Canis lupus familiaris: one gene and its partners. The protein of the gene in region 1 purifies or fractionates together with the protein of each later gene. This does not show direct contact. Links are inferred from orthologs where the notes say so. Each region holds a gene or a part of one and is shown in the gene's direction. Other genes may lie near its edges.

Evidence for each region.
Region 2: the proteins of USP25 (region 1) and KCTD10 purify together in Homo sapiens (affinity purification with mass spectrometry; 4 studies listed by BioGRID and IntAct, counting the BioPlex papers as one, with this or other methods). This does not show direct contact. The link is inferred for Canis lupus familiaris from reciprocal best matches to the Homo sapiens genes USP25 and KCTD10.
Region 3: the proteins of USP25 (region 1) and BTBD9 purify together in Homo sapiens (affinity purification with mass spectrometry; 3 studies listed by BioGRID and IntAct, counting the BioPlex papers as one, with this or other methods). This does not show direct contact. The link is inferred for Canis lupus familiaris from reciprocal best matches to the Homo sapiens genes USP25 and BTBD9.
Region 4: the proteins of USP25 (region 1) and KLHL9 purify together in Homo sapiens (affinity purification with mass spectrometry; 3 studies listed by BioGRID and IntAct, with this or other methods). This does not show direct contact. The link is inferred for Canis lupus familiaris from reciprocal best matches to the Homo sapiens genes USP25 and KLHL9.

Annotation. Positions count from the first base shown.
Region 1 is NC_049252.1:13,121,400-13,126,484, forward strand, and holds part of USP25 (ubiquitin carboxyl-terminal hydrolase 25), read left to right. Parts: coding exon 1-115; intron 116-3,433; coding exon 3,434-3,629; intron 3,630-3,939; coding exon 3,940-4,112; 3' UTR 4,113-5,085. UniProt on the Homo sapiens protein: Deubiquitinating enzyme that hydrolyzes ubiquitin moieties conjugated to substrates and thus, functions in various biological processes including inflammation and immune response.
Region 2 is NC_049247.1:17,948,087-17,953,597, forward strand, and holds the start of KCTD10 (BTB/POZ domain-containing adapter for CUL3-mediated RhoA degradation protein 3), read left to right. Parts: upstream 1-2,057; 5' UTR 2,058-2,199; coding exon 2,200-2,292; intron 2,293-5,511. UniProt on the Homo sapiens protein: Substrate-specific adapter of a BCR (BTB-CUL3-RBX1) E3 ubiquitin-protein ligase complex. The BCR(BACURD3) E3 ubiquitin ligase complex mediates the ubiquitination of target proteins, leading to their degradation by the proteasome.
Region 3 is NC_049233.1:7,340,650-7,345,734, reverse strand, and holds part of BTBD9 (BTB/POZ domain-containing protein 9), read left to right. Parts: intron 1-1,657; coding exon of another isoform or gene 1,658-1,849; exon of another isoform or gene 1,850-1,864; intron 1,865-3,829; coding exon 3,830-4,024; 3' UTR 4,025-4,053; intron 4,054-4,609; 3' UTR 4,610-5,085.
Region 4 is NC_049232.1:40,904,219-40,909,952, forward strand, and holds the start of KLHL9 (kelch-like protein 9), read left to right. Parts: upstream 1-2,496; 5' UTR 2,497-2,858; coding exon 2,859-4,712; 3' UTR 4,713-5,734.

The DNA of each region.
Region 1 (5,085 bases):
TTCCCTGCTGTTCCTTATCTGTGCCTATCAGAACAACAAAGAACTCTTGTCCAAAGGCCCAAACAGAGGACATGATGAAGAATTGATATCACATTATAGAAGAGAATGTTTACTAGTAAGTTGAATATACATAGATCCTGTTTACTTTATCATTTTGTCTTACATTGAACACATTTTCAGACTCATGTGTGATTGACAATAATTCTGATGGGGAAAGCATCATGATGATGTTTATAATCTGGGTTTAATCCCTTACAATGTGAGAATGCACTCAATGCACTCAATGTACTCTTATCCCTTCTTTATTAATTCTAAATATTGCAGGTGATAAACTAGAAATGTGCTTAAATTGAGATAAAAATACTTACATTTCTATATTTAGATTTCTTCATCATTCTGCCATTCCCTTTTATGGTGAGAGAAGAGGCGCTGCACAGGGCCTGAGGAATTATTATGATTATTCCAGAAAAAATAATAGATTTTTTTGAGTTTTTATAAATAGTATATTTGGTGTACATATTGTGAAAAGATTCATTGTAATACAGTATCCTTTTTTCTCACCTAGTCTTTGGTAGGTTTTTTCCCCTCAAATATTTTTACTATCCATGTGCAGAAATATTACTATTGTTATATAAACTTTAAAAAATCTTTTTAGTAGTTTTTTTTACATCACATTACTTTCTAGATGTCTGGAGTACTTTCTCTCATTAGCTAATATGTATTAAATGACAAAGTCCATCTTTATATATTTTTCCAATTGAATTTCATCTTTAACTACTAACATTGCTCTTGAATACAAAATTATTCAAGAATGTATGATTTTTGAGCTTATATAAGTTACATGGTTCAAATATAAACAACTAACTAGGTATGCTGGTAAAATGTTTTCTTTCAGTAGAACTACATAGTATAAACTAATTGTAGTCTTTAGTATGTCTTTAAAATTTTCAAATGAGAATATTAGAAGTTTGTGATCTTACTATTTTTCTCTCAGCTGCTTTTATTGCATTTGAGTGTATTTTAAAACTTGAATTGTTAGTGGTTTGTATCCATGGAGGATAGTTCTTAAATTTGGCCAGTTTCAAAAAGTTTTTAGTCAACACCTGAGAAGGAAGACTGGAATATATTTTAGCTTAAAAAAATACAAGATATTATATATTTATATATGGAATGAATTAAAGCAATTTTTAATGTAAAAATATTAAAGCCTTGGGATATGGAAATATTTTGGTAAAGCTATTTTAAGCATAAATACAGCCAAAACTTGGTTACTTCAAAACATTTAAAAAAATGATAGAATGTTTCTCATTAGTTTATAATAGTAAACCAGCCATATCTAGTTTGGTGTTTTACACAGGGATTTAAATGACACCTCGTGAGGATTATGTCAGGGTTCCTTTTGGGTTTTTTTGTATTGAATATTTACTGAGTGTCAGATTTGAGGGATACAAAGACAAGACCTGTTTATATCCTGCCCTCTGAGAACTCCGTCTGTACAGAAATGACTTTTATATTCCAGAATAAATGTCAATATGAGAAACACGCAAAATCATATGCCTGCAAGTTGTCAAGGAAAACTGTAAGAGATACAAACAACACTGATCTGGATCTTGATGGATAAATAGGAATTTTATGCCTTGTAGAGAAGACAGAAGAACAGTCTAGCCCAGAGGGACAGTATATGAAAAGGCATGGGAAGTATACAACAGAAAATGAAGATAGATCCATTGTGGCTAGGTTATGAGGAACAGGGTTAGGTGGAAATGATGAAGCTAACGGTACTTGTTGATGTCAGCCTATGTAGAAGCTTATGCAGCATTCTAATGAGTTTGGACCTTTTTAAGTTTAAGTAGATTTGACATGTTCAGGTTTGTTTTAGAAAATAATTCTGGCTATAGCATATTAGAGGATGAACTAGAAAGAAGTAGAGATTGAAGTCCCTCGAAGGAGGAAGAAAGGTGAGAGCCTCAACCAAAGCAGAAGTACAGTGGGTACAAAGAAGAGGGCATAGAAGATGATGAAAGAAGTGCCATCAAGGGACTTGGTAACTACTAGATGAGTGGAAAGAAGGAAAAAGAATCATCAAAACTGCCTGACTTTGTAGTTTTGTGTTTGGCTTCTGGGACTCTAAAGAAGATGAATAAATTTGGCTTTGGGTGTTTGATATTTAAGTTGTTTCCAGACAAGTTAACATTAAATTTCAGAATGATAGTTAACTATTATGTCTTTGAATGTATATTGTAAAAATTATACTAGGTGCTTAATGGCTTATTTCATTTAATTCTCTTAACCACTGTATATGGAAGGTGATAATATTCCATTTTCCATATGAAGAAACTGAAGCTAAGAAATTATGTATTTGCTCAAGATTAGATAACTAACTGCTTAGTGACTGAGTTAGATTTTGATCATAAGCCTCTCTACAAAGTCAAGAGATGAATCCTTCAAGAATGACATAAACATAAAAATATAATTTTTTTATTTGAAATTCAGCTTAAAACTATGAATATTTCAAAAGCATATCTATCATGCTCTAAACATAAAATTTCAGACCTAAACCCTTCAATATTAAGCTCTTGTTATACCTGTAATTTCTTATCTGTTTCCTATGTCTGTATTTCTTATCTCATGAATTTCTGTCTTCTGCTATCAGCACACTTGGCCTGTACTCTAGTCTACCATGTGTTTTTGTAAATAAAGTTTTATTGAAACATAGTCCAGTCATTTGCATATTATATATGGCTGCATTAGTGCAGCAATGACAGAGTAGTTACAGCAGAAACCATATGGCCCTCAAAGCCTTAAGTATATCTTATTACCTTGTCCTTTACAGAAGTTTTCTAATCTCGATGGCAAATTGTAAGCTCCGTGAGGGTTTCCTGTACTAATCACTTGGGTTCCTCTGAAACTAGAACAGCCTCTGGCATATAGTATGTATTCAGTAAGAATTTTTTGAAGGAATAATGAATTGATTGATTTTTTATTTTATATTCAAGAAATACAACAATATTTATTCACTTGGCATTTCCAAAAAGATGATAAAATGTTCTTCAAAGTTAATATGGAATCTGAATTTTTTTTTTTTAATTTTTAAAATTACTTTGATGTCTTACCAAATTTTAGAATAGGGGAAATTTACCTCTGGAGAATAAAAATGGCCCTTGTAGTGATGATTACAGTAATATAAGCTGAATATGAACTTTAAAAATATAACTATTTTCACCACTTCTTTTTGCTTTTGTTTTTGTTATTATTATATGTACAGCTTTTTCTAAGAGACTTCATGCTCGAATAGATTGAGATTGTTTTTCCTGATTGCTATTTGTTCTAAAATTGTTTGTAAACATACTTATTATGTCATCTTCAATATTAACACAAGTGTTTTTATTTAATTAAAAAAACCCAAACTCTTTCTTTTCCTCATTGCATTAAGAAATTAAATGAGCAAGCGGCAGAATTGTTTGAATCTGGAGAGGATCGAGAAGTAAACAATGGTCTGATTATCATGAACGAGTTTATTGTCCCATTTTTGCCCTTGTTATTGGTGGATGAAATGGAAGAGAAAGATATTCTTGCTGTGGAAGACATGAGAAATCGATGGTGTTCCTATCTTGGACAAGAAATGGAATGTAAGTTTAACCTGTGCTAGTGGGCACCTCAGTTGTTGGGATTAAGTGTAGTTAGAATTAGATTATTATTTATTCTTATCATTTTTTATATTCTGTAATATTTTACATTCACATCATTACTTTTTTTTTCCTGTTTACAAACCAAGTTGTGCACATTGCCTTGCCATTTATATTCTACCTCTCTCCACCAAATGGTGATTATTTTGCATATTTTGAAATGAAACATCAATTGACCACTTTAATAAATCATGTTAAAGATAATTTCTTTCCCTCTCTATCTTTAGCTACATCTAATTGTTTGTATTTACAGCAAACCTCCAAGAGAAGCTGACAGATTTTCTGCCAAAACTGCTCGATTGTTCTACTGAGATTAAAGGTTTTCACGAACCACCGAAGTTACCTTCATATTCCACACATGAACTGTGTGAGCGGTTTGCCCGAATCATGTTGTCCCTCAGTCGAACTCCTGCTGATGGAAGATAAACTGCACACACTTTCCCTAAACACACTGTATAAACTTTTTTTAGTTCTTAACCCTTGCCTTCCTGTCACAGGGTTTGCTTGTTGCTGCTATAGTTTTTAACTTTTTTTTTATTTTAATAACTGCAAAACACAAAATGACTATACAGACTCTAGCCGGACTACAAACAATAAAGCTGAGAATCGCATGGCGCTCAGACTTTGTTTTAACCAGGACTGATGTATAATTACAAATCTGATTGATTTCATTATGGCAAAACCATGCTTTTGCCACCTTTCTGTTACAGTATTACTTTGCTTTTTTCTTTTATCTACAGCTTTCCATTCAGTCTGGATCCTTCCATGACTGCAGCCATTTAAGTGTTCAGCACTGTGTACGATACATAATACTTGGTAGCTTGTAAATGAAATTAAAGAATAAAGTTTTATTTATGGCTACCTATGTGTTTGTTAGCAGGTATATTGTATATTAGTGTATTATTTTAGTTATATATAAATGAATTTTGTCTGGGGATTGTGTAAGATTGGATGGACAGATGACTAGATTATTACAAACTTTTAATTTTTCTCTGTTAGCATATTGGAAATTTACTAAATATTTGACACTTAAATGTATCTATATTTTTGACTAAGTTGTTAAACTTAGTGGCACCTAAACCTGTTTTGAATTCAAATCAGGTTTTCACTGAAGTAAGCGGCTGATATTTAAGTCAACCACACTGAAACTTTTAACTTTTTCTTAGATTAACCTTTTATTTTTTTATGTATTTACAAATAATATAGCAAGGTGATTATTTCAAGAGATACCAGAAAAAAGTACTTGAATAAGGGCTATTTAATAGTGAAACTTATAAGAAATCTGTATATGTATATACACACACAGACACACACACATACACACATATACACATTCTTCATAATGGAGGACAATGTTTTACATTATATAATCATTCTATTTTTGTAAATTGTATACCAC
Region 2 (5,511 bases), on another chromosome or scaffold:
TGCTAAAAGAATTGAAACATTTACACTTCTATTCTGACTTAGTCATCATGACACTGTGATTACGATTAAGTGGAAAAACATTAACAAGGAGTATCTCAAAGCAGATAGCATGTAACTGAGCTTTGCTATATATAGCACCTAGACTTTAAAAACAAAACAAAACCCAAATTAAGGAATTAACCCAATTTAGGAAACAATGATATATGTGGAAAAATTAGAAACACAAGAGGGCAGTGATAAACCAGGATTATTTATAAAGGAAAATAAATTAAGTATCCACTACGTGTCCCGTCCTTCTACATAGTAAGACCAGCAACCCTGTAACATCATTTAGTTACATCCCATAGTCCACCTTAGACCATTTAGTAAGGAGCAGAGCCAAGATTTTAATACTAAGAGACAGGCCTCAGATGCTTTTCTATGTCTACAGTCCCATGGTAGCTGCTCAAAATCAGTCTTCCCTGGATGAGGTCAGCTTCATGCAGAATTATGAAAGAGTCCAGAGGGCATCACTCACAGTGAAGCATCCTAAGTATCAACTGCTGTCTGAGCCCAAGAGGATTTTCCCCCTATGGACTAGCTGGGCAGCCAGGTTTAGTGACCACCACCAATCTGTTAAGGGCAGATCATGTTTCAGACACTGTACAGATATTTAACCAATTTTGTCTTTCCAACAGCTCTTGAAGGTCTCAGTGGCCCAATTTTTAAAGAACAGGCAAGGGGAGGGGGGGCAGCCTGGGTGTCTCAGGGGTTTAGCGCCGCCTTCTGCCCAGGGCCTGATCTGGAGACCAGGGATCGAGTCCCACGAGTCCCCGGTCCGGCTCCCTGCATGGGGCCTGCTTCTCCCTCTGCCTGTGTCTCTGCCCCTCCCCCCCATGAAAACATAAAATCTTTTAAAAATTTGTTTAAAAAAATAAAGAACAGGCAACAGGACTTAGGCCATTAATAACAGCATTTACTGAAGGCTACAGCCCATCTAGGAGCATGTTACGGATCCCACCTTCACACGGAGAAAATGAAATGTAGAGGGAGCACGACTCAGGAGAGGTCACTCGTCTCCCGAATTTGAAGCCGCGTCTAACTCCAAATCAGTTAAGTGAAACAAGTAAGACCCAAGGGACTCGGCCACTCCCAGGACAGCGAAGAAAAGCTGAGAACGCAAGGCTGCCTGTAGGGCTGAGCAGAGTCCGAATAGACCAAGTTTTTCCTATTGAAACCATTAACACCAGCTGCCTACCGAGCGCCGAGTGGCAGACGCTAAAACTTGCATTACACAAACTCCTATGCGAAACGAGCTGATCGCTCCATTTTACAGAGCAAGAAACCGAGGCTCCGAGAGGTGAGGGAGCTCACCCAAGGTCACACCGCGAGTCAGCGGGGCCTGAACTCCGGTCTGGGGGCTCCTGGGCCCAGCATCTCTCCTCGGCATCGACAACCACCATAACAAACCTTCACCCAGCACCGGTCTGTCTATAAAAGCCTATTCTCCCCACAGATGAATAGGGGTGGAAAGACGACGAAGGGGACACCCCCGCCGCCCCGAAAGCCAGCCCCTATAGCACCTGCCCTTCGACTTGGGGAGGCAGGGACCCCGCCAAAGGGCCCCTTCCCTCAGAGTCCCCGCCGTCACCTCCACCCGGACACCCCAAGACCCCGTTTCCACTCGCTACCCGCAGGCCGTAGATCTTTACCCGCTCCAGGCCCCCCGCGCTCGGGGTCGGGGCCGCAGCTCCCGCCGCCTCAGCCCAATACCCTCGAGCTCTGCCAGACCCGGGGCAGCGGTCGAGGCCCGACCGCCATCTTGCCCCGGGGTGTCCACTCTGAGAGCTCCGCTGGGAACCAATTATCCAGTTCCGGGAAACGACAGTTCCGCAGAGCGTCTGCCCTCGGGAAGGACGACCTCCTTGCATCTTGCCCTCTTCTCTGGAAGGTGGGGGGGGAAAATGGACCCCTCATCAGGCTAATGCCTGATCCAGCTCAGAAGTGATGCCACCTACTCCAGCCGCAGAGGCTGGAAGGAACGCGGCCGACGTGTAGGTTTACGACGGACCCTTTACGAAGGCGCGCTCTGCGGGGCGGAAGCGCGCTGGCGCAGCGGAAGTTCCCGCCCCGGGCCCGCCTCTGCCCCCCGCTTGCGCGAGCTGGGTGTTTCCTGCCTCTCAGTCCGAGTTTGGAGACTCCTGCGTCCTCCGACTTTTCATGGTAGGGAGGGCGGTGCCCACTAACGGGGGGCTCTGGGCGGCCGCGAGAGCCCGGCAGCAGCAGAGCGGAGAGGGAAGGAGCCAAGGAGGGGTGGGTCGCGAGGAGGGGCCGTCGCGAAAAGGGAGAGGCCGATGGGGGGGGGGGGGGGGGCGGGGGGGGGGAAGGGCTGTGGTGAGTGACGGGGGCGGTGCCCCTGGCTGTTGGGGCTCGGGATAGAGCATCTGGGCTTGGGGGAGTAGATACGTGTGGGTGAGCTGGGGGGGTCTCTCGAGTCTTGAGGACCCGTTGGGTCGGTGAATGTGGAGAGAACAAAGAGGGGTTGTCGAAGATGGACTCTGGGGTGGAAAGTGAGGGTGGGAGGGCGCTGCGCAAGAGAACGGTTAGGTTTAGAGAGCGGCGTGGGATTCCTTGGGGCGAAGCGTTGGGGGGGGGGGTCTTTGGAAGTTGTGGCTGCAGCCTCTCGGTTCCGGGGAAACTGGAGAAGGAGCTTCCAGGTGCTTCTGAACACGAGGGCGTGTTTGGGGGAGAGCAGGGAAGAGATAGAGGGGAGGGATGGCGGGGGCCTGAGCTCCAGGGACCTTGGCCTCGGAGGCCAGCGCCTTCAGCCCGCGCCTTGGTCCCTCTCCAGTCACTTCCGTCCGAGCCCGAAGCGGCCACACCTAAGGAGTTCAGAACGGATCTCCGGCTGTCACCAGCGGTCGGAAGGGTTCTGCAGGCGTGTGATCCTTGAAGGGTCTGTTCCCGAAATGGCTCTTTGGCCCTGGCTGGGAATGACCAAAGTCTAGCCTAGCTCTCTTACTCCTTTGCCTCTTGGAACACTGCCGAAGACGACTTAGCCAACCTGTATCTGATTTTGCTGCATCTTATGCAAAATAAGGACCACCTGCAGGGAAGGAGGCATTAAACCAGCAGTTCTTAAACTGACCTCCAGACTGGCAGTAGCAGCTGCAGAATCACCTGGCAACTCGTTAGAAACGGCCAAATCTCCTGCCTGCCTGCCTGCCTGCCTGCCTGCCTTCTTTCCTTCCTTCCATCCATCCATTCATCCAGTTATTCATGAGAGACACAGGCAGAGGGAGAAGCTGGCTCCTCTTAGGGGAGCCACAGATCAACACAACCAGGCAGACGCTCAACCACTGAGTCACCCACGTGTCCTAGAAATGACCAGATTTTTCAAGCCTTATCACTGACCACTGAATCAGTCTGGGGGTTGGACCCCTCAATCTGTTTTAACACGCCCTGTTAATGGGAGATTAATGATTTCTTGATTTGGGCTATGTAATGAAGGGAGCCTGAGTCAGAGAAACCTTGTAGTTCTGATTCTTCATTTTTCTCCCCTAAAAAGTGGGATTGGTGACGTCTTCCTCGCTGGATCCCCTGGGAGAAATAGGCCAATAGTTTGCATGATACACAGAGGGAGGGAAAGTAATTTAGCAGAACAATTGGAAATAGCAGTAGTGGCCCCGTAAACAAATTTTGGATGCAAAATAATGCCACGGTTATGTGGCTGATTTAATGCAGTTTGGTTGAAGTGGAACAGCAGATTTTCCTGAGTTGTGGAAATGCCCTTAGTTTGGGGAAGTTTTATAATTAGCTAAAAGGCAGTGACTCTTAGATCAAGCTGGTTAAAGGAGCACCTTAGCTCTGTGACTCTTAGCTGGGACCACATCTTAGATCACCTGAAGAGCTGCCTTTTTTTTTTTTCCTTTTTTTTTTTTTTTTTAAGATTTTGTCTATTAATGAGAGACACACAGAGGGAGAAGCAGACTCTATATTGGGAGACTGACATGGGACTCCCATGTCACAACCTGAACCAAAGGCAGATGCTCAACCACTGGGCCACCCATGTGCCCCCATGAACTTCTTAAATACAGCTGAGCTGCTCCCTCCCCCTCTGATTCTGATTAATTAGCCTGGGGTGAAGCCCAGGCATTGGTACTTTTACATGCATCCAGGTGACTGTAATACAGCCAGGCTGGGACCTCTGGTCTTAAGTTTGAGGGACAGAGGGGAAACTGCACTAAGGGCCAGGTACCAAGTATTCAAACATTCATTCCCTGAAGGTTCTTATGAAGATTATGGCTTTACCTTCGTTTCACAAGGTAGGAAACAGAGACTCAAAACACTTGTTTGAACCTCACACAGGAAGTGGTGGAACTGAGACTAGCCTAGGTTCTTCAGACTTCTGATCCAACCTTCCATACACACGTCTCCCCCAACACACAATGGAGACAGTTTCCACAGAGAGCTGTATGGAAAACACCCAAGGGTGAGGGGAGTGGTGTCTTTTTCTCCTATTATACTTGCCTGAGCCTCTTTTCAAGTCAACACTTTTCTTCCTTGGGCTGATTTTTATTTTTTAAGCATGTATACAGTTGTTTCCTGTCTGTGGCTCTGAGGCTGTGAAATAGGGGCTGGCTTTTATTTATGATGCTCTGGTTTAGTTTTATGTGTGGTCAGGAATTCACTGGGCCAATAGAACAGGAGGTTGGGGGAGCTTCTTCAAGATGATGAAGTGAATAGGTGTACAGAACTATTTACAGTGGTGGGCTGCAATTTTGGCTGCATGTTGGAATCACCTAGGGGAGTTAAAAAAATTTCTGTTGCTCAAGCCATACCCCTAGATTAGCTAACATCAGAATTTACGTGAATAGGACTCTGATGTCAGGTTTTTTTGTTTTTAAGGGGAGAGCCACTGTTTAGAGTCAGCAATAGGATACTCAGGGGAGATCTAACTGGATTAAAATTTTCAGATTGAATAGAATCCATAACCAATACCTCAAGTATTAATTTTATCTTTGTTTTTTGTAACCAGTTTTGCTCTCTCCTGCCTCACCTCCCCAACCCCATTAATGATGAAATCAAAACTTTGAAACAAGTGAAAAAAAAGCAGGATCCTGGTAGCAGTGGCTGAGGAGTCTTCTGTAGAGAGATGTGCTGGGGAGACTTAGTGTCTGCTGCTTTGTGTCCTTAGCTCAGTGCAATACGGGCTCAGAGACATGAACAGTCAGACTACCTTTCAACCAAAGACCATTCCCAGTATTGACCTTTAGAAGGGTGGGCTCCAGAAAGGTTCAGAGCTTTCTTTGCCTATTCTGGAGTCTCAAGCTAGATCAAGATGGTTTCTGCTTTATCTCTTAGCGATTCTGGTGGGTGTCTGTAGAGTTGGAAATGGTCTTCAGAGAAAAGATAATTGGAGACTTTGAGAGCATTCTTGAATAATCATAACGTGAGTCTTTGCTGCTGTAAGCCAGAAGCCATGCTGAGTACTCTGTGGCATCCCTCAGAGCAGTCCTGAGAGGGAGACAC
Region 3 (5,085 bases), on another chromosome or scaffold:
CTCCCACTACACATTTTACGTGTTTGTTGACTCCAGGCCTTACCCATTTTTCCATTTGTAAAACTGCTTTTCCACTTAGAATCGTCGCCACACTGTTTGTGACTTAATAAAATTAGCTGTTTCCTGTGTGTTGCCTTTGATTCTGGCAGAGCCTGCTCGGCTCTCTGGAGATGCTCAGGGAACCCACATTAAAGTTCATTGGTAAAAAAATAAATAAATAAAAATAAAGTTCATTGGTCCTTCAGTGACACCCTTGGGTCCCAGACTGAAGCTCAGCTCGGAGGGGGCCCATCTCTCCTGTCTGGTCACCTGTATGCCCACCCCGGGGCCACAGGGCAGTGCCATCAGGCAGCTGGTAGCTGGAAAAACTTAAAACCTTGAAAAACTTAAAGAATGTTAAACTGGTGGAGAATGGATTAATAGCTGCCACTTAGAGGCCGTTTGGATTTGCCCTGTATGGTACAAGTCAGAGCTGATGGCCCAGACCGTTTAAAATCATAAAAGGCCCTCCCATAGGGCTGTGGACAGGTGAGTACCTGCAGATGGGCCCAAACAGGGGGATTTACTCTAACTGGCAGGGAGGATGAGAAGAAAGGAAAAGGAAGGAGGGACAGATGCTGCGAGGCCCCCAGGAGCACCATGGCGAGAGCAGGCCCAGTCTGAGCTGTGAAGAGAGAGATCTGCTCCCTCTAAGAGACCAGCTCTGCCCCTGTGAACAGGGCGGACCTGGAGACGCATGGCCTCCATTAGTGTTCGTATTAGAGTTTGAGATGTGAAATTTGAAACAGCAGTGGATAAATGAATTAAGTGGGAACATGGAGAAAATAGTGATGCAGGAAGGTAAGCACAGAATTTATATTTTGACTATAATCTTGCAGTTGATACTTGTCTTCTCTGTGCACCTGATTCTGCAGTAGGTCATGTGTGTGCACGCACGTGTGTATGTGTGCACAGTGCATGTACACGCACGTGCTCAGCCGTGGAGGACATCGAGCCCTCGGATGAAGGAGGGACTGTTCCCTGCCCACCCCCCTCCCCGCCCCAGCTCTCCCTTGGGAAGAGTAGCAGGGGCCCACCAGCCCTGCCCTGCGTCCTGCCCACCCCTGGAGTGTCAGCGCCTTAGCCACTGCACACAGGCCCTTATCCAGAAGAGACTCCCCAGACGTGGGCACACCAGATGCTGAGTGGCTCCGGTCCAGCCAACAGGTCCACGGAAAGAAAGGGTGGAACCCTACCACGAGGGAGCAGGAGGGGTGGGGGCGCTGTCATTCTCCTGGAAGCACTGGGTGGCCAGGGAAGAGCCAGCAGTGTGTCCCACCCTTGTGGGCTGGGAGCATGCCATGCCCCCGTGTCACCCGGCCTGTCCTTCGTGGCTGTTGCACGGGCTCCAGGCATGCACTCCATGTCCGTACCCAAGTTTAGTGACACCCTTACAGGTCTCGCCATCTTACTTCTTTAGCAGAAGGCTGGGGACAACAGGGAGAGAGCCTGGGGAGGAGGTCGTACTGTTAGGGGAGCCTCGCAGGTGTTTGTTGGGACTCTGGCCTCCCCCCGAAAATCCCCTGGCACATCACCAGCCCAGTACCCCAGTGTGTGTAGGACCATTGCGCCATGGGGCCCCTCAGAAAGTAGAACTCACCCCTATGCCCCATTCCAGCTGACCCTCTGTCTGCCGCTGGCTGCCACTGCCTCCTGCTTGGATCCAGCCCTCCTCGGACCCCTCAGTTTCCCCAGTAAGTCTGTGCAGCCCTTCCTGCGCTGCCTCTCCCCCCACCTCCACCTGGGCTCCAGCTCCTGTGCCAGCTCATCTCAGTCTGGGCCCCCTCCTGGATTTGTCCCACTTTGCTGAACTTCACCTCCAACAGGTAGCCAAGGTTGATGCCGTGAGGCATCAACTCCTCCTGGACCACAGCCCCTCCCTTCCTCCTCACAGGCCTCTGTGACCTGCGGCCCAGAGCGCTCAGCCCTTGCCCTGGACAACACCGTTGGCCCTGAGTTGACCCCACTGTCCTCCATCTCCGGGCCACCCTGCCCCTGGTGACCAGACCAGTCTGTCCAAACACCTGGCACCTCATCACCAGCGCGCACACTTTGGAGGGCCTTTGTTGTTGGATCTGACGTACAAGCCCAGCCCTGTGGGAAGCGGTGTTCATGGGACGAGCAGGTCATGGAATGTTCTCCCCAGACACCTCGCCAGCCTCACCAACCCGGGTCTTTCCTTCAACACTGGGCCTTCTCTTCCTGAGGGTCTTCAGCAGTGTTACTCCGCTTGCCCGAAACACTTCTAACCCCCAAATGCCCCTCTGTCCTCCAGGCCCTGCCTGTTAACTTAAAAGCACTCTCTTGAGGGCTTAGAATCTCCTCTGAGGACAGACAGCAGCAGGGGCCTTCAAACATTTTTTTTGCTTATCTCCTAAAAGAACTTTGGGAAAAAGTACAATAACCCTTTGAACATGTAAGGTTGAAAAGGAAAATATTAAGTTGAAATACAATTATTTTTATAAATAGGAGGTAAAAAAAACCATAGGATGGAAGATGAGGAACCAATTACTAGAAGTAAATATTTAATGACACGATTCACTAAAATAGATTTTAACCAACTCCCTGAATAAGGCACAGCAAATCTGTAGTCATCGTGCAAGACTTTTACTCATGGGCTTTAGCCAGTGTATCTTGAAAATGTTTAAATTCTGGAAAAGTCTCAATTATGTTCAAAAAATCACCTGAGTCCCGATTACCCATCAGTTCTGAATTCTGAACATCTGACGGGCGGAGCCCCGCTCTCATGGGGCCCAGGAGGTGCGAGGGCCCCTCGCTGAGGCCAGGTGACTGCTGTGCTCTGCTTCCGTGGGGGTGGGGAGGGTGTTGTGAATTCAGTCATGTGTGCAGGCAGTTTTAGGAAATATAGGGGTTGAGGATCTGGAAATTCATTCCCTGAAAACTGCCAGCACGCCCTTGGAAAGTGGATCTGCGTACCCACACCAAAAACCACGGTGCAGAGGATGGGGTTCTTCCCCTTTAGAGTTCGGGGCAGGCGGTGTTGGTAGAGAAAGGAATATCCGGGTGTGCCAGGGAGGGTAGGGCGGCTGCCCTAGAGGCCCGCCTCCCACAGACTTCCTGGCCGTCGCCAGTCCCCCCAGCTCACACACCAGCGGTGACCTGTTTCACAGCCGCGTGTCAGGCTCACACCCGCACACACCGCATGCTGTGAATTCTCAGGGCCAGGCAGGCCTCCCCCTGGTTTGCTGAGCACAGAGCACCCAGGCTTAGCCAGCTCCGCCTGGCTCCTGCGGCCGGCCTCCACCCTCCGCGGAGGGCCTTCCTTCCACACTGGCCCCAGCGTGCCGGAGCTGTTCCCTCCCCCAGGGCACAGGAGACGCCTGACAGGGGGACTCGATCTGACCCTGGGAGATGGGCCCTGGTCCTCCCCCAGGGGGTTGACGCCCTGCTCACTTTATGTTTAAATACCGACTTTAGTGAAATCTAACCCACAGCCCGAACAACTCACCCATTTGCAGCGTAGACGCAGGGGTTTTTATGTGCAGCTGTCACCCCAGTCAAGCCCTGGTGACTCTTAACCCGACTGCCAGAGGCAGGGATTCATCAATTAATTACAAGAGCGCTCCTGTGACAAAAGGAACCCGAAATGGAGTAATCCAGAGAGGACATTTTCTAGGAGGCCGTGTTACTGCCTGTAACCCACAGACCCTCAGCCCATTTGCCTCTGTCCCAACTGAGACAGGTGCACCAGCCTCTTGTCGCCGCCCCGGGGCCGCCGGCCCAGAAGGACACCCGCCATCGCTCACGGGCCTTTGCTCTCTCTCGCCAGGTGTTCCACTGTGTCCACTTTGAGTGTCCGGAGCAGCAGAGCAGCCATAAGGAGGACAGCAGCGAGGAGTCGGGGCCAGGGGAGCCTGGCCCGGGTCCGCAGCTCGACCCCCACGCCCTGCAGGCCCCCAGCGGCAGCTCCCTGCCTTCCAGCCCCGGCTCCGCCTCTCGCTCCCCCAACCGGCAGCACCAGTAAAGGGCCCCCAGGCCCCATTGAGGGCAGAGGCAAGGACTGGTGCCCACCCCCACCCCCCCACCCCCCGGCCAGGAGGGATCTCTGTTGACTGCCCCTGACCCCTCCAGGGAGGAGCAGAGCCCGCTGCAAAAAGGGACACACAACAGGCGTTCTCCCAAGGACAGAAAGGGGGCTGCTTTGTTCTCCTCAATTTGTTCAAATCAGGCTGGTCTCCAGGGGGAGAAAATGGGTCTTCAAACTTCATCAAGTCCACCATTAACACCCTACCTCTCTAATGTCACTGGGGCAAGGGGGACAGAGGGAAGCGGTAGATGGGTGGTGTCGGAATTCCTACAAAGCACAGCGCAGCAGGGGCGCGTGCAGGGCAGGGGGTGGGCTCTGCTCCCCGGAGGCACCCGAAGGCAGTGGGTTTCTGTAGAGTGCTGACTTTCCTGGAACACATTGCCGTGGGAACTGATTTTTTAAAAATTTCTTTTAGTTATTGTCCATTTGCTGAATCATAGGTGTTCCAGATCGTCTTTTGCACTGCTTAAACAGCACATCCCTTGTTTTCATCCCTCTTGATGCTGTAATTTCCCTCCTTAGTTTTGAGCGGTTAAGCCTGGGGTGGAGCAGAGAAGCACTGCCCACGTCTCCCGTCTCCCGAGTGAAGCACAGACGCAGCTCATCACGGCCCCTGGTCTGACAGGGAAAATCCTCCGAGGAAGTTCAGCAAAATACACAATGAGCAAATCAATCCAATGACACTGGAGTTAATGATCGCTCGAATTCCTGAGTTATTAACCTGTCATTCCTGAGACGCATCCAGCCTTTGAGCTTGGGAGGCTGACAAAGAAGGAGTTGCTAAGCCACCTGCTAATTTCATGGTCCGAAGTATGTAAATGTGTATATAAGTGTGAGGAGTCAGCGCGGTGGCCGAGCGGGGGTCGGGGTTGGGGACAGGGAACTGCGCCTTTGCGGCAGGTTGAGGCTGTTGGGTGGCGCTGCTGTGCCTCCCCCGCAGGACGTACTGCACACCCGGGGTTTAGAACAAAAAGCAGTTCTCGGAAGCTTTTGTCCTC
Region 4 (5,734 bases), on another chromosome or scaffold:
AATGGAAGCTGCTTAAGATTCTTTCTCCCTCTGCCCCTCTTCCCACTCCCCCCTCTGTCTTAAAAAATATATATAAAGGTAAACACTATATAACTAACACAATGTACAGGTGAACATGACAACATACAAGCAAAAATATTGAAACACGATAAATATTTTAAAATAGGTAAGTACATTATTAAGGTCATCTATGATGGGCTGGTGCCTCCTATGAACTTTTAACTTTATAGTTGCTTAATGCTATCAATAAATGTGACAAATTTGATTCAATTTATTTCATGATGAAGTCTTTTGAAATGACTAAACATGGGAATATGATGAAATATATCTGTCCATAGTAATTGTTTTATTAAGACCATAGGTCTGCTTCCTCAGCTCTTAATCATTCTTGCAAGCTTAGTAATAAAAAGATCTCATGTCTTCTTGCTCTGACAACTTCCAAAATAGCCGCTCGATTCTTTATTTTCCAGAATGAGACTGATTCCTTGCAAGTACCTCTTCACATCCAGTATGGAGTCTTCATTGCTCAGGAGAGTCCTTCCATCTCCAACCCCTGCACTAAGCCAATTTCTAGGACTTCCCAATGCTGACAAAGTCCAGTAAAGAATTTCTCACAGCCAGTCTTAATCCAGCCCACCTTTTACACTTGAACATGTTTAAGATATGCTGGAGCATATAGTGGAAGACATCAGCAGTCTGCCCTCTGGAACTTGCTGCCATCCACTGAAACAACAGAAAACAATTGGATACAGTTAACTGTCCATCAGTCCGGGATTGGTTAAATAATTTATGACACACCCATTTATTGGGAGACAAAACAAAGTTCTCTATTTACTAACACGGGAAGATCTCCAAATGAAAAAAAGCTAGGGGCAGAATAGTGAGTACGGGCTCCTATCTTTTATGTAAAAGTAGAAAAAGTATAATAAAAGAATATAATTATAGTCTTACTAGTTTGCATATACAAAAAATAAACTAGATAGATTTAAAAGGCATCAGACACTTCAAAACATGGGAAATGTTGGAAGAAATTATGTCAAAATGTACATCTATTCATACGGCAAAATTTAAATTTACTCCTAAATAGAGAAATACAAGTTAATAAAAATATCCATAAAAGAAAAATAAATAAAAATAAATATGGGAGAAATGCACAAACATTGCTGGTGATCATATTTTGGAAAGAAATTTTTATACGTCTTGAATCCTGTCCTTAGGATTTATCTAAAAACAGGGGAAACTTCTGTGCTGAGATTTTAGTTTATTGGAGTCTATAAAACAATGACGTACAAAGTTTTTATTCAGGAACTAATAATGGGCAAAAGAAACTATAGTATGTGGAATCATCGGAAAGTCCTGTAGCCATCTAAAAATGTGAGTGGATAGGGATGCCTGGGTGGCTCCGTGGTTGAGCGTCTGCCTTCCGTCCAAGGCGTGATCCTGGAGAGCCGGGATCGAGTCCCACATCGGGCTCCCTGCGTGGAGCCTGCTTCTCTGTCTGTGTCTGTCTGTCTCTCTCTCTCGGCCTGTGTCTCTCATGAATAAATAAATAAAATCTTTAAAAAAAAATGTGAGTGGATAGAAGGGGAGGTGGGTGGCAGGTGGGGGTGACTGGGTGATGGGCACTGAGGGGGGCACCTGATGGGATGAGCACTGGGTGTTCTATATGTTGGCAAATTGAACACCAACAAAAAATAAATAAATAAAAATATAAATAAAATAAAATGAAATAAAAATAAAAATGTGAGTGGAGAACAATTACAACGGAATTGCACTGCACAGCCAAAACCCAGGCTATACTATTCATGTGCCGTGGTCACAATTTGGTATTTAGAGACCCATGATCCGTGTATTAAACGACTAGTAATTTGAATATGTGAACCAAAATGGTAACTGAGGTGTAGGATAAAAATCATAGCCCAAGTGCTTTATCGAGGAACAGTTTTAAGCATCTTGCCCCCAGGGCCGCCGCCTCTTCCCCGTTGCCTTCCCATCTATACAAAAGCCGCACGTCATCGTTATTCAAAAGGCAGAAGCCAGGAAGTGTAAATCTTTAAAAAAAAAAAAAAGTATGAACTTAGGAGGAGAGCTCAGGCGCCGTGAGAAGCTCGCAGCACACGCGCAGCACCACGCGGGCGCCCCTGGAGCCCCAGGCCGCGCCCGCTCCTCCGCGCGACCCCGCCCGGCCCCCCGCCCCGGCCCCCGCCCTCGGCGCCTCCCGCACCGCTGCTCCCCGCCCCCACGCGCCCGCCCGCTGACGGGGCCCGGCGGCGCGCAGGCGCAGTAGCCGCCGCGGCCGCTCCTAGCCCGGGGGATCCTGGGACCAAGCCTTTCCGGAAGGACCGGCTCGGCGTCCGGGGCAGAGCCCGCGTTCCAGGCCCAGGCCCGAGCCAGGCCCGCGGTCCAGGCCGTCGTCCCTGCACCGCCGCCGGCGTCCGCGGCGACGCTCCAGCGAGCGCGGAGGGCGCAGCGGGCCGCGCGCTGAGGTGGGCCGGCCTCGCCGCGTCGCCGGCCGCAGTACGTGGCGGCGCCTCCCCCTTGGCCGGGAGCGGAACTGCTGGAGGAGCGGCGGCGCAGGCCGGACCGGGCGAACCGGGTCGCTTCACTGCCTTCAGGTGATGAATCGTCCGCAGAGCAATCAGATTTGAGGTCCGCAGCCCTCCGTGGCCCTGCCCGCCACCAGTTTTGAGCGGATGACCGGCGGGTGTGTTGGCGGGGTGCCGCGGTGACCGCTCGCCCTTGATCAAGGAAAGCGAGCCCTCCTGCTCGGGGCGTGCGCGGCTCGTCTCCTTGAGAGCTTTCAGGCCACAGCCTCGTTCCCCGGGGGGCCCGGGTCTCCGCGGGAGGAAGGCTTTCCCATGAAAGTGTCCCTCGGCACCGGCGAAATGGGCGTCTCCGCCCACCTACAGCCCTGCAAGGCAGGAACCACGCGTTTTTTTACCAGCAACACTCACAGTTCGGTGGTGCTGCAAGGCTTCGACCAGCTCAGAGTAGAAGGCTTGCTTTGTGATGTGACCCTGGTCCCGGGCGACGGAGATGAAATCTTCCCCGTTCACAGAGCTATGATGGCGTCCGCTAGTGATTACTTCAAGGCAATGTTCACAGGCGGAATGAAAGAACAGGATCTGATGTGCATTAAGCTGCATGGGGTGAACAAGGTTGGGCTGAAGAAAATAATTGATTTCATTTATACTGCAAAACTTTCTCTCAATATGGACAATCTTCAGGACACCCTTGAAGCTGCCAGCTTCTTACAGATTTTGCCCGTCTTGGACTTCTGTAAGGTGTTCCTTATTTCGGGAGTCTCTTTAGACAACTGTGTTGAAGTTGGGCGGATTGCTAACACCTACAATCTGATCGAAGTGGATAAGTACGTCAATAATTTCATCCTGAAGAATTTTCCTGCATTGCTGAGTACCGGGGAGTTTCTAAAACTCCCCTTTGAACGGCTTGCCTTTGTGCTTTCTAGTAACAGCCTTAAGCACTGCACTGAACTTGAGCTCTTCAAGGCCGCCTGTCGCTGGCTAAGATTGGAAGACCCTCGGATGGATTATGCTGCAAAATTAATGAAGAACATTCGATTTCCATTGATGACACCCCAGGATCTCATCAATTACGTGCAGACAGTAGATTTCATGAGAACAGACAATACTTGTGTGAATTTGCTTTTGGAAGCTAGCAATTACCAAATGATGCCATATATGCAGCCAGTGATGCAGTCAGATAGAACTGCCATTCGATCTGACTCGACACACTTGGTCACATTAGGAGGAGTTTTGAGGCAGCAGCTGGTTGTCAGCAAAGAATTACGGATGTATGACGAAAGGGCACAAGAGTGGAGATCTCTTGCCCCCATGGATGCTCCTCGTTACCAGCATGGTATTGCTGTCATTGGAAACTTTCTTTATGTAGTTGGTGGTCAAAGTAATTATGATACGAAAGGGAAAACTGCTGTTGATACAGTTTTCAGGTTTGATCCTCGGTACAACAAATGGATGCAGGTTGCATCGTTAAATGAAAAGCGCACGTTTTTCCACTTGAGTGCCCTTAAAGGACATTTATATGCTGTTGGTGGGCGAAGTGCGGCTGGTGAACTGGCCACAGTAGAATGTTACAACCCAAGGATGAATGAGTGGAGCTATGTTGCAAAAATGAGCGAGCCCCACTATGGCCATGCTGGAACAGTGTACGGAGGCTTGATGTATATTTCAGGAGGAATTACTCATGACACTTTCCAAAACGAGCTCATGTGTTTTGACCCAGATACAGACAAATGGACACAGAAGGCTCCAATGACTACAGTCCGAGGTCTGCACTGCATGTGTACAGTTGGAGACAAGCTCTATGTCATTGGTGGCAATCACTTCAGAGGAACAAGTGATTATGATGATGTTCTAAGCTGTGAATACTATTCACCAACCCTTGACCAGTGGACACCAATTGCTGCTATGTTAAGAGGTCAGAGTGATGTTGGAGTTGCTGTCTTTGAAAATAAAATCTATGTTGTGGGTGGATATTCCTGGAATAATCGTTGTATGGTAGAAATTGTCCAGAAATATGACCCAGAAAAGGATGAATGGCATAAAGTTTTTGACCTTCCAGAGTCACTTGGTGGGATTCGAGCTTGTACTCTCACAGTTTTTCCACCCGAGGAAAACCCTGGGTCACCTTCTAGAGAATCCCCTCTTTCAGCACCTTCAGACCATTCTTAGGACTAAAATGTAGTACCTTTGCAGTGCATCATGGATGATCTCACACTTCCCCTTAAATTGTATCTTCTTAAAGTGATTGGTGCAGTTATTAGGTTAAATGGTAACTGATGTTATTTGTATTGCTTGGCTCAGTGTGTTTATCCGTATGGTTAACAAATGCATTCTGAAAATGTATTTAACATAGCCAGCTGTTTTAACAAATGTAAAAAAGATATGTAGAAAAATGTTTTAGATGTCTTTGTGGTGTTGTGTAAGTCAAATTGTAGGTGATTGTAGTAAATGTGTAATTATGTTCGTTTATGCTTCAAAGCTGCAAGTTTTCATCTTTCACTTCAGAACATCGAAGGGAGGCTGCTTGCTCTGACCTAAAATAGTAAAAGGTCGCCAAATATCACCTACCTTCCCTTTTTTCATAATAGTTTTTGACATCGTTGACAATTCACCAGATCGAGTGCATTCAGAATATGTGAAGTTTCCTAGATAGGAGAAATAAACAGCGTACAAAACCCTAAGTCAGGATTTTGTATCTCTGGAGAGAGGGAAAGGGAGAGAGGAAATATAGGTATGTATGCACATAAACACATCCGTATGCATACATACATGTGTATATACATTCATACAGCTGTACACATACATATATAATTTTAAAATTGATTGGTATTTCGGCTGTAGGAAAATTGTTTCTAAATTAAATTTTTTTTCTTCTACCTAGCAGCTATTTCTATCCAAATGGGAATTCAGTACCAGAGAATAAGTATCTATAGAATCGTACTAAATTGAGATAGATAAGGGCTACAGCATATTAAACTGACTACCAAATTTGTCATTTGACTAAATTGTTACTTCAGATAAAACCTATTACTTTTTCTGCTTGTGTATTGTTTTCTATAGAGTTGCAAGTTCAGGTTTCTGAAAGTTGGTTTTGCTGAATACGTTTAAGCTCTGCTGTTTTCCACCCTTTTTGTTCAGTAAAACTTATATGAGGAAAGCTAAGAAAGAAATAACGCTGAGCAAAACGATAG